2 linked regions of the Drosophila melanogaster genome follow. The protein of the gene in region 2 interacts with the protein of the main gene of each other region in a pairwise test. Each region holds a gene or a part of one and is shown on either strand. Other genes may lie near its edges. The genes, in order: CG3880 and NitFhit.

What was found.
Region 1: the proteins of NitFhit (region 2) and CG3880 interact in a two-hybrid assay, tested with the Drosophila melanogaster proteins (one large-scale study listed by BioGRID).

What each region holds. Positions count from the first base shown.
Region 1 is NT_033778.4:24,758,575-24,763,209, reverse strand, and holds CG3880 (uncharacterized protein), read right to left. Parts: upstream 2,547-4,635; 5' UTR 2,364-2,546; intron 1,929-2,363; 5' UTR 1,923-1,928; coding exon 1,065-1,922; intron 1,009-1,064; coding exon 664-1,008; 3' UTR 605-663; downstream 1-604. Other genes in the region: CG12848 (uncharacterized protein), read left to right, coding at 238-600; spz6 (spatzle 6), read right to left, coding at 2,996-3,626, 4,027-4,353, 4,414-4,635.
Region 2 is NT_037436.4:202,040-206,051, reverse strand, and holds NitFhit (nitrilase and fragile histidine triad fusion protein), read right to left. Parts: upstream 2,323-4,012; 5' UTR 2,262-2,322; intron 2,209-2,261; 5' UTR 2,193-2,208; coding exon 810-2,192; 3' UTR 743-809; downstream 1-742. Other genes in the region: Gk1 (glycerol kinase 1), read left to right, coding at 415-684, 2,433-3,563, 3,623-3,838. UniProt on the Drosophila melanogaster protein: Cleaves A-5'-PPP-5'A to yield AMP and ADP.

The sequences.
Region 1 (4,635 bases), on a different chromosome or scaffold from region 2:
CGCAGGTTGATTATTTACCTTTTGTTCCACGGAGACTCTAAGTGTGACCGTATGCTTATGTTAAACGAAATACCAGGGCTGCAGACGTACTGGCAATCACCACCAAAAGCAGGAACCAGTTCGTGACGTAATCTGAAGCAGCTGTTCAGTTGTCCAGGAGTCGGTGGAAATTACGAGGTGGGTAAAATCGTATTTTTTGACTGAAATGACCGGACTCACAGAGCCAAGGGGTTTCAGATGCGCGTACCCGGAGCCCTGTTTGCCGCGCGCGGCCGAGCGCCTCAAAGCGAGAAGGACGTGCCCTTCCAGGAGATTCTGCCTCTGCGGCTGAAGAACACCGTGAGCGGGAAGGCGGACTCCGGATCCGATGTGGCCTGTCTCCAGGAGATGGGCGTGCTGTTCGCCTGCTTGAAAGACAACGAATTCGTGGAGAAGTACTGCCACAAGGAGATCAGCCAGTTCCAGAACTGCTACAAGTGCTACATGGACCGTAAGTTTGAGGCGAAGAAGACCGTGAACCAGGGAATCGTCCAACCGGGCAGCAACCTGAACTACAAGCAACTTAACAAGTACATGCGCCGCTACCCCAATCCCGTATAGCTTTACATAGTTCAAGTTGTTTAATAATACACTATTTACAATGTACGCAGCAGCATTGATTCGTCAGTAGACCACGTCGGCGTCTCCCAGCCCGGCCGAGGATTGGCTGACCGGCGAGGGCTGGCTGAGCACGAAGTTGGGCATGGCACGCAGGAACTGCGGATGGGAATGAGAGTGCTGCGCCTCGTACAAGTCTGACAGAAGCGGCGGCTTCTCGCGAACCCGACTGAGCAGATCGGACATCTGCCTCGGTTTTGGGACGGTGGGTGTCGGCACAGCCAAATTAATGTGCAGTGGGTAGCCGCCGTGCTCCCAGGTGTCGGCCAGAATCTGGAGGCTGCGATTGGCCTCAAAAACGCGGGCGCGTTGAAAGTTTAGCCTTTCTTGCTGCAGTTCAGACCACTGATCCTGTGCGAAAATCAGGAAAGGGGTAACTATTAATTACAAGCTAGAGGACTACTTACAAATCGGGTTCCTAAACGGCCGAAATACTTTATCTGCTCCTGTACATTGAGCACCTGCATCATATACCAATCGCGTGCCTTCTCCACGCCATCGAGTCCGAAAAGAAGCAGTTCCCGCTGCTCCTCCAATTGCTTCAGTCTTTTTAGCATGTTGTAATCGATGCCGTGTTGCAGAGTGTGCCTCCGCGACTCTCTGCGCTTGCTGCTGGTCTTCTTGGGCACAGCCGGAAGGGCCAGGCTCCAGTCGGTGGCCGAAGCAGAGGTGGAGGAAGAGCCACCGTCAGCCGATCCACGGTGTTCGAATTGTTCCCGCGACTGCGTCGTTTTTGACTTTCCTGCGTCCGCCATCAGGTTCAGTTGCCAGTTTTGGAGGGCATGGCGAATGTCGTCTTTACCCAGAGCAGGGGACTTGGGTACCTGTCGTGGAGGTTTTGGCGGCGGAGCAGGAGAATGGAACTCCATCTCCGGAGCAAGAGTTCCGTGGGAACGAGGCCGCAACTTCAGGTCTTCCACAGCGTTTTGCTGATTGCGGAGCAGGCACAGCTTGAGGCCGGCGCAGAACCGCTCGAAGGAGAGAAGTCCGCTACTGGGAGTGACCCGACGGAGTGAGTCCACAACTCCGCGTGGCAGTCCCTTGGAGCCATCATCCTGCCAGCCCTTCTCGATGTCCGTGAAGCGCACGTATCCGGTCTGCTTGTCATCTAAGATGTCGAAGAGCTTTTTCATGGACAGGACGAACTGCTTAGGCAGCGTATCCAGTTCCCAAAATTGCGACTGCCCCTGTGGATGGCTGCCTCCCACATCGCCTATGCTTAGGTTCAGCAGACTGGTACTGGTATTCTTGTTCTGGCGGAGCATCTTCGTCTGCGGATGGCGCAAAATGGAAAGTGGGATGAGATTATGAATCGTATAGTCCCACGCTTGGCACCAATGCATAACTTATATTAATAGGAGCTCATTTGCATGGGTAACTCCAAATGGAATGTGTGTGAATCTGGCACGCTGCCTTAGGACTGAATCTCTGAGCTAAGATATTTCCCACTTATTTACAAGCAGTTTTAACAAATTTATTTTTATAAAATCGTCTAGTCGCCACACAAAATTACTTGATTTCAAACTCTACAATTTTATTTAAATGGGCTCAACTGAGACGTGCAAATGAATGATTTTGTTAGTTTCTTGCCTTCAAGTACCAAGTTTACTCAATGTTATTATCGCAGCTGCATCTGTACCTTAGTCCACTTTGGTTGCTTATTTTGTTTATAAACAAAGAGACGGCCCTCCATTTGGCTGACTTACCCAAGCTATGCGGAAAATTGGCTCCTGAAATCCGAGTCCGCGGCTCGTCTGGCAGCCTTTTGAGGCCGTTCGTCAAGGCTTCTGCGCAAACTCTGCAACTATTCTGTGTATGTAATGCAGCTCGGTCGCTTGGATCCCCGGCCAAAACACCCAAAGCCAACCAACTGGTTATATTGACTGCACACTAGATCAGCGGCCGAGGTTTTGGGCCCGAGTCTCGCACGCATGCGCAACTTGCGCGACTGGTTTCTGTGGGTTTTCGGTGGATCTTCCAACACAAGCGCAGCTGAGAGAGTTCCAGGAGGCTAACACACACAGGCTAGGCCAATACCACATCGCAGTCTCAGCAAAGTGCCGAATAGAGAGGCTCTCTTATGATTAGGTAGAAACGTATTTATTAGTAGAAATGCACTGCTCTTGGCTTAATCAGTCGAAAGAGGGAGCTAACCGCCTAGGTTAAGATTGTATCTGGTAGATGCACGAACTGCAAACTCTGCGTGATCCGTATAGGGCTGTGGGGCACCCGGGTGGATTACTAGAATGAGCCTTTCACCTCAAAGTTGTGTTCCTCTAAAGGCTAGAACTTAGTCTTATTCTAAGGATTTCCTTCGAAAATCCTGTCCAGGAAGTGTTCACAACTCGGCCACCGACTTCCGGCGCACGTACTTGGCGAAGTAGTCCGGGCGCCAGCACTTGCAAGAGCCGGGGATGAGGAACCAGTCGTAGTAGAGACGCACCTGGAAGCAGCCCAGTTCATCGTGTCCATCGCAGTGGGCGTCCACCTGCGCCGCGGGGCCGGCTGCTCCAGACGAGGTTCCGTCGGAGGCGGTAGCCACGCCTGCCCTCTTCTGCAGGTACTGCTGGTAGGCCTGGAAATCCTGCACAGAAGGGGCCTGAGTGGTGGTCGAGCTGGTGGGCACTGTGTCCTCCGCATTGGGGTAGAAGATCTCCGCCACCAACAGGCTTACCCAGCGTGGTGACGACAAGCAACCGCCGTCCAGGTAGTGACAGCGTGCCTGAATGCAACGCGTCACCTCCACCGTCTGGGTGAAGTAGCCCTCATAGGGAATCTGGACCACATAACGCCAGGCGCCTTGGTAGTTCTTAGCGAAGACGGGAGTAGCGTACTCTACCTTGGCGGGACAGGGAGTGGGAGGACCCTCGTACCGGATGGGACCCACCTCCTCGCGCCTTTCCGCAGTGGGCGTGGCAGGGGCTGCTCCTCCGGTGTCTCCCTGAATTGCCCTGTATAAGGTGCAAAATCTGTGGGTGGAGTTAAAAGTTTAAAAATCTTTTATTAATTGACCTGCACGCAGTTGTGTCGTCAAAATGCTAAGCAGTTGAATACCCCATGATGTACTCCTCTCTTAACCTATTCTACAATATCTATGGATGTCGATTAAAGTGTTGAGCTTCTTTAGTTGTATGGCTTTACATTATGATGTGGAAAGTGAAATGACAAGCTCATTTGGGTTCTTTGCCTTGATAATTCTTCGAATCTATAATTTTATAAAGATGACTCATAATTTTTAAGTGGTGACCTCTTTAGCTTTATATGCGCGCCTTTCCCGTGCTTTAAGAAATACGATATATTTATCTTTCATTTATGTAGCAGTTAAGATTGGAATAACTCTACTCCCCCGTTTCCATGCTAAAAACTTACACTCCACCGCCATCGCAGAATTTCCTTGGCTTCCTCTCCTCGGCGGCCCTTCTCTGCTGGTTATTCCGATCCCTTTGCTTGTGTTGCTCCTCCTCGTCCAGGGCGGGATCGAAGTAGCTGTACTCGTTGGACTCCACGCCCTCCGGCAGGCTGCGGCGGACGCGAGTGGAACCTCCTGCGGGATAGGGCCTGTCGATGTTGTTGCTGTCCAGCTGTTCCACGGGTTCATCTCGAATGATCTGGGTGACCTTGGGTAGGGTATCGTCGGCCTTTAGAACGGGCAAAGTTTTCGAAAGGAACTTCAGCGTTTGGTTGCGAATAAGTTCGCTGTGGAGGAGGTGTACATTAGAGATGTCTGAAATTTGTTACGCAAATATTTTCACCTACAAGGGATAGGGCTCCCCGAGTACATTTTGTCCCAGCGGATTCTTGGGTATCTGACCCTTGTTTAGATCTCCGCAAATGTTGTGAACGGACACGGCAGACTTCTTGCCGGCGGCCACGTCCTTGCACTCCGCATTTACAAAGGTGTAAGGTGGCGGCCTGACCTTGGGAGGCACCGCATTCGGGGACTCGACGAAGGCGTAATAACCCTCCGGAGGCTGCTCC
Region 2 (4,012 bases):
ATGTTCGTTTATGCGCAATACGTTTTATATATAGGTGTATTTTGTGAAAAATTACCTATAACAAAATTTTAATATGTAAATATTAAATTATAATGCACTTAATGAAGAAATAAATGATTTATAATTTTAAGGTTTGTTCCCGATAGCAAAAATCACGTTCTTTATGATGCATAAACGTTATGTCGCGCCCATTCGCAGTAAATATTTACTATCCGACGGGTTTTTAGCTTGCACACACCGCTATCGTAACGATTTGCAAAGAGAAGGCTCGCTCACCTTATCTCTTATCGCATAATTTCCGTCGAATATGTCGACAAGATTCCAATAACTAATTTTAGTGTGAAACAATCTCGCGAGAAAGCGTGCTGGCATTTATTGACTGTAAAGGTGAACTCTGGACACCACGTAAAAAAAATGGATTCTCCCACAACCGAAACGACACCGCCTCCACCCACGCTATCTGGTCCATTCGTTGGGGCTATTGACGAGGGAACCACTTCCGCGCGATTTATTATATTTCGTGCGGGCACTGACGAAATTGTGTGCTTTCATCAGATTGAAGTGGAGTCTATTTTCCAGAAGGAGGGATGGTGCGAGCAGGATCCCATGGCCATAGTGAATACGGTCAACGAGTGCATCACCGGTGCCTGCAAGAAACTTGTGGCCGTGGGCGGGAAGGTTGAGGTACGTCAATTTCAGATGAATCGATTCCCTCATCTGATCTATTCCGAAATGGCCGATTGAAAATCTATCTCTTTATTATATGTTCTTCATAAATCACATGGCAGGAAAAGGGGTGGGGTAAAAAGCTAGCTTATGTCCGTCAGAAATTTGCGATAAATTTGCGCCTCCTCGATCCTTTCCTCGATGGTACGCGGAGGCTTCTCCTCGGCGCGCTCATCTAGTTTCACGTAGATCTGGTCATTGTGCCCGAAGTCTCCCAGACGGCGGGGCATTATATGAAAGTGTACATGGGGAACAGTTTGTCCCGCCTGTGCACCATCTTGCACAGTGACGGTGGCGGAAGTTGTCTGGTAAATCTTCTCAAGCAATCTTTGCACCAGACACACAGTGGTGAACATATCCGCCATTTCGGCACAGTCGAGGCCACAAAGGCGCGGAGTCACTCGCTTAGTGGACACAAGGACGTGACCCTTTACAACACAGCGCAGGTTGGTGAATGCAAAGCAGTGCTCAGACTCATAAAAAATTGTGCGCTTGTCCACGATATTAGTGGCAAATGGTCGATCCTGGGTTGGTTCTTTGCTACGAAGGTTGTAGGCTGTTAAGGCGTAGATGTCGTTTCGACGATGTTCGAAGCAGGGCATGGTCTGATACAGAGATTGAAGCACGGAAAGGTCCACCTCGGCCGTGCCTATATCAAGCTCCTGCTCGCTGCAGTCAGCCAGTACGTTTCCCCAGGGGCTAACGATCATGCTGTGGCCCCAACTCTGTCGCTTCTGGTTGTGCCAACCTATCTGAGCCGCAGCGACCACAAAGCATTGAGTCTCTATGGCTCTGGCCCGCAGGAGGATTTCCCAGTGCGCCTTACCGGTTGCGTATGTGAATGCGGATGGGTATGTTAACAAATTGGCACCCAGCTTCCTGAGCAGCACCGCCGGCTCAGCAAAACGCAGGTCGTAGCAAATCTGAAGCCCTATCTGGCCAACTGGAGTGCTCACTGGGCGCTCAAGGCAGTATCCCGGCGTAACTGTATCTGATTCGCGTAGGCGAACCTCTTTAGTCGTAACATCAAACATGTGCAGCTTTCTGTATACTGCTGCTAGTTCCCCTTTCTCGTTGAGCAAAACATGAGCGTTGAAGATTTTTTGATCGTTCCGCTCGTGCACGCCACCCAGGGAAATCCAAATTTTGTTGCACTTCGCCAATTCCCGGTACTGCGCCATTAACTCGCCGTCCAAGCCCTCGGAGAGCTCAATAGTTTGGGTCCGGCTCTCGCCCACAAAGTCACAGCACTCAGGCAGAAAGAGCATGCAGGCGTTCTGTGACTTGGCCCTATCCACTAGCTCTATCACTTGGCTAAGATTAGCCGCCTTGTCGCTGGTAGAGCGCATCTGACCCACAGCAATGGTCGCACTTTGATCCTTCCTCTTTTGGACGGACATCCTGCGTAGCTGCTGATGAATGGCGATCACAATGCTGCGTCTCGTGGTATTAACTAGAGTTGACATTGAAACGGGTCGCCGGCTGTGGAAAATTTTCGAATCGTTACGTCGTAAGATGTTATCAATTATTTTTACCTAGTTGTTTACTGCGCTGCTCTCTTTACCATTCCCCTAGCTTACGGCGTTTCCCAGAGAATGGCAAACAAGTGTGTACACACACAACCAAGGAAAGAATATACAAGAGTTGACCGTTTTAACTTAATTCGAATATTTGAAATAGAATCCTAAGCTTTCGCCTCGTTTCAGGAAATAATCACGATTGGAATAACAAACCAACGCGAGTCCACAGTCGTATGGGATAGAAACTCCGGCCAACCGCTGGTGAACGCTATCATCTGGCTAGACAATCGTACCACCAGCACGGTGGAGGAGCTTTTGGAGACTATTCCGAACAATGCCAGGAACATCAACTACCTGCGCCCATTGTGCGGACTTCCTCTGTCTCCGTACTTTTCGGGCGTGAAACTACGCTGGCTTCGAGACAACGTGCCGGTTGTCAGCCAGGCTATGGAGAAGGGCACGGCCATGTTTGGCACCATCGACACCTGGCTAATGTATAATCTTACGGGCGGGAAGGACTGTGGTGTCCACAAGACGGATGTGACCAACGCTTCGCGCACTATGCTCATGAACATCGAGACCCTTCAGTGGGATGCCAACTTGCTAAAGTTCTTTGGGCTGCCCAAGACCATTTTGCCGGAGATCTGCTCGAGCTCAGAGTTCTATGGCAGCATTGCGCAGGGCGTTCTGCAAGGCATAGGCATAACATCGGTTCTGGGCGACCAGCAAGCCGCTCTAGTGGGTCAACAATGCCTGGCCAAAGGTCAGGCCAAAGCCACTTATGGCACTGGATGTTTTCTGCTTTATAACACAGGACCTTCAATTGTACACTCAACGCACGGATTACTAACGACTGTTGGCTACCAACTAGGACGGAAGGCAGTCCCATTTTACGCCCTTGAGGGAAGCGTGTCCATTGCCGGTGCAGCATTCAACTGGCTGCGCGACAACATGAACCTTATTCAAAACTCGGGGCAGATCGAAACCATGGCTAGCACTGTGGACAACTCTCTTGACGTATACTTCGTACCAGCTTTCAATGGACTCTACGCCCCCTACTGGAATCAGGACGCTCGCGGTGTCATTTGTGGACTGAGTGAAGAAACAACAAGTGAGCACATAGTAAGAGCCACCCTGGAAGCAGTTTGTTTCCAGGTCCGTGATATTCTCGATTCGATGCACAAGGACTGCAAGATTCCACTGGCCAAGCTTATGGTAGACGGGGGCATGACTGTGAATAATCTGTTCCTGCAGCTTCAATCCGACCTAGTAGGAATTCAAGTACTCCGGGCGAAGATCGCAGAGACAACAGCGCTGGTTAGTACTTTAACTTGTGATGTAAATGCAGCTTCAATAATGCTTCAAAAATGCTTTAGGGAGCTGCAATGGCAGCCTACAAAGCCGTTGAAAACCGATACCAAATGGAGGCTCCACTCTCTAAATCTGGCCCCCGAGAAGCCATAAAGCCATCGATCAGTGCCACCGATCGCAACCTGCGCTACCAAAAGTGGAAAATGGCTATCGATCGTTCACTGAACTGGGAGACTTCGACGCTTCCACAGGGCGAACGGGAGGCCTTTGACGGAGCGTGATCACAGCTAATGTCTGGTAACGTTCATGTTCTTCTATTCGTAAATCAATTGCTTGGTTTTTCGTATTCGAAATTTCCATTTATTACATATACATATAAAAATGTTAATTAAAAACGTAAAGTGTTTTTCTGTGCGCTGTGATGCTCTGGCAGTGTGTTCCGACTACCAGCCGGT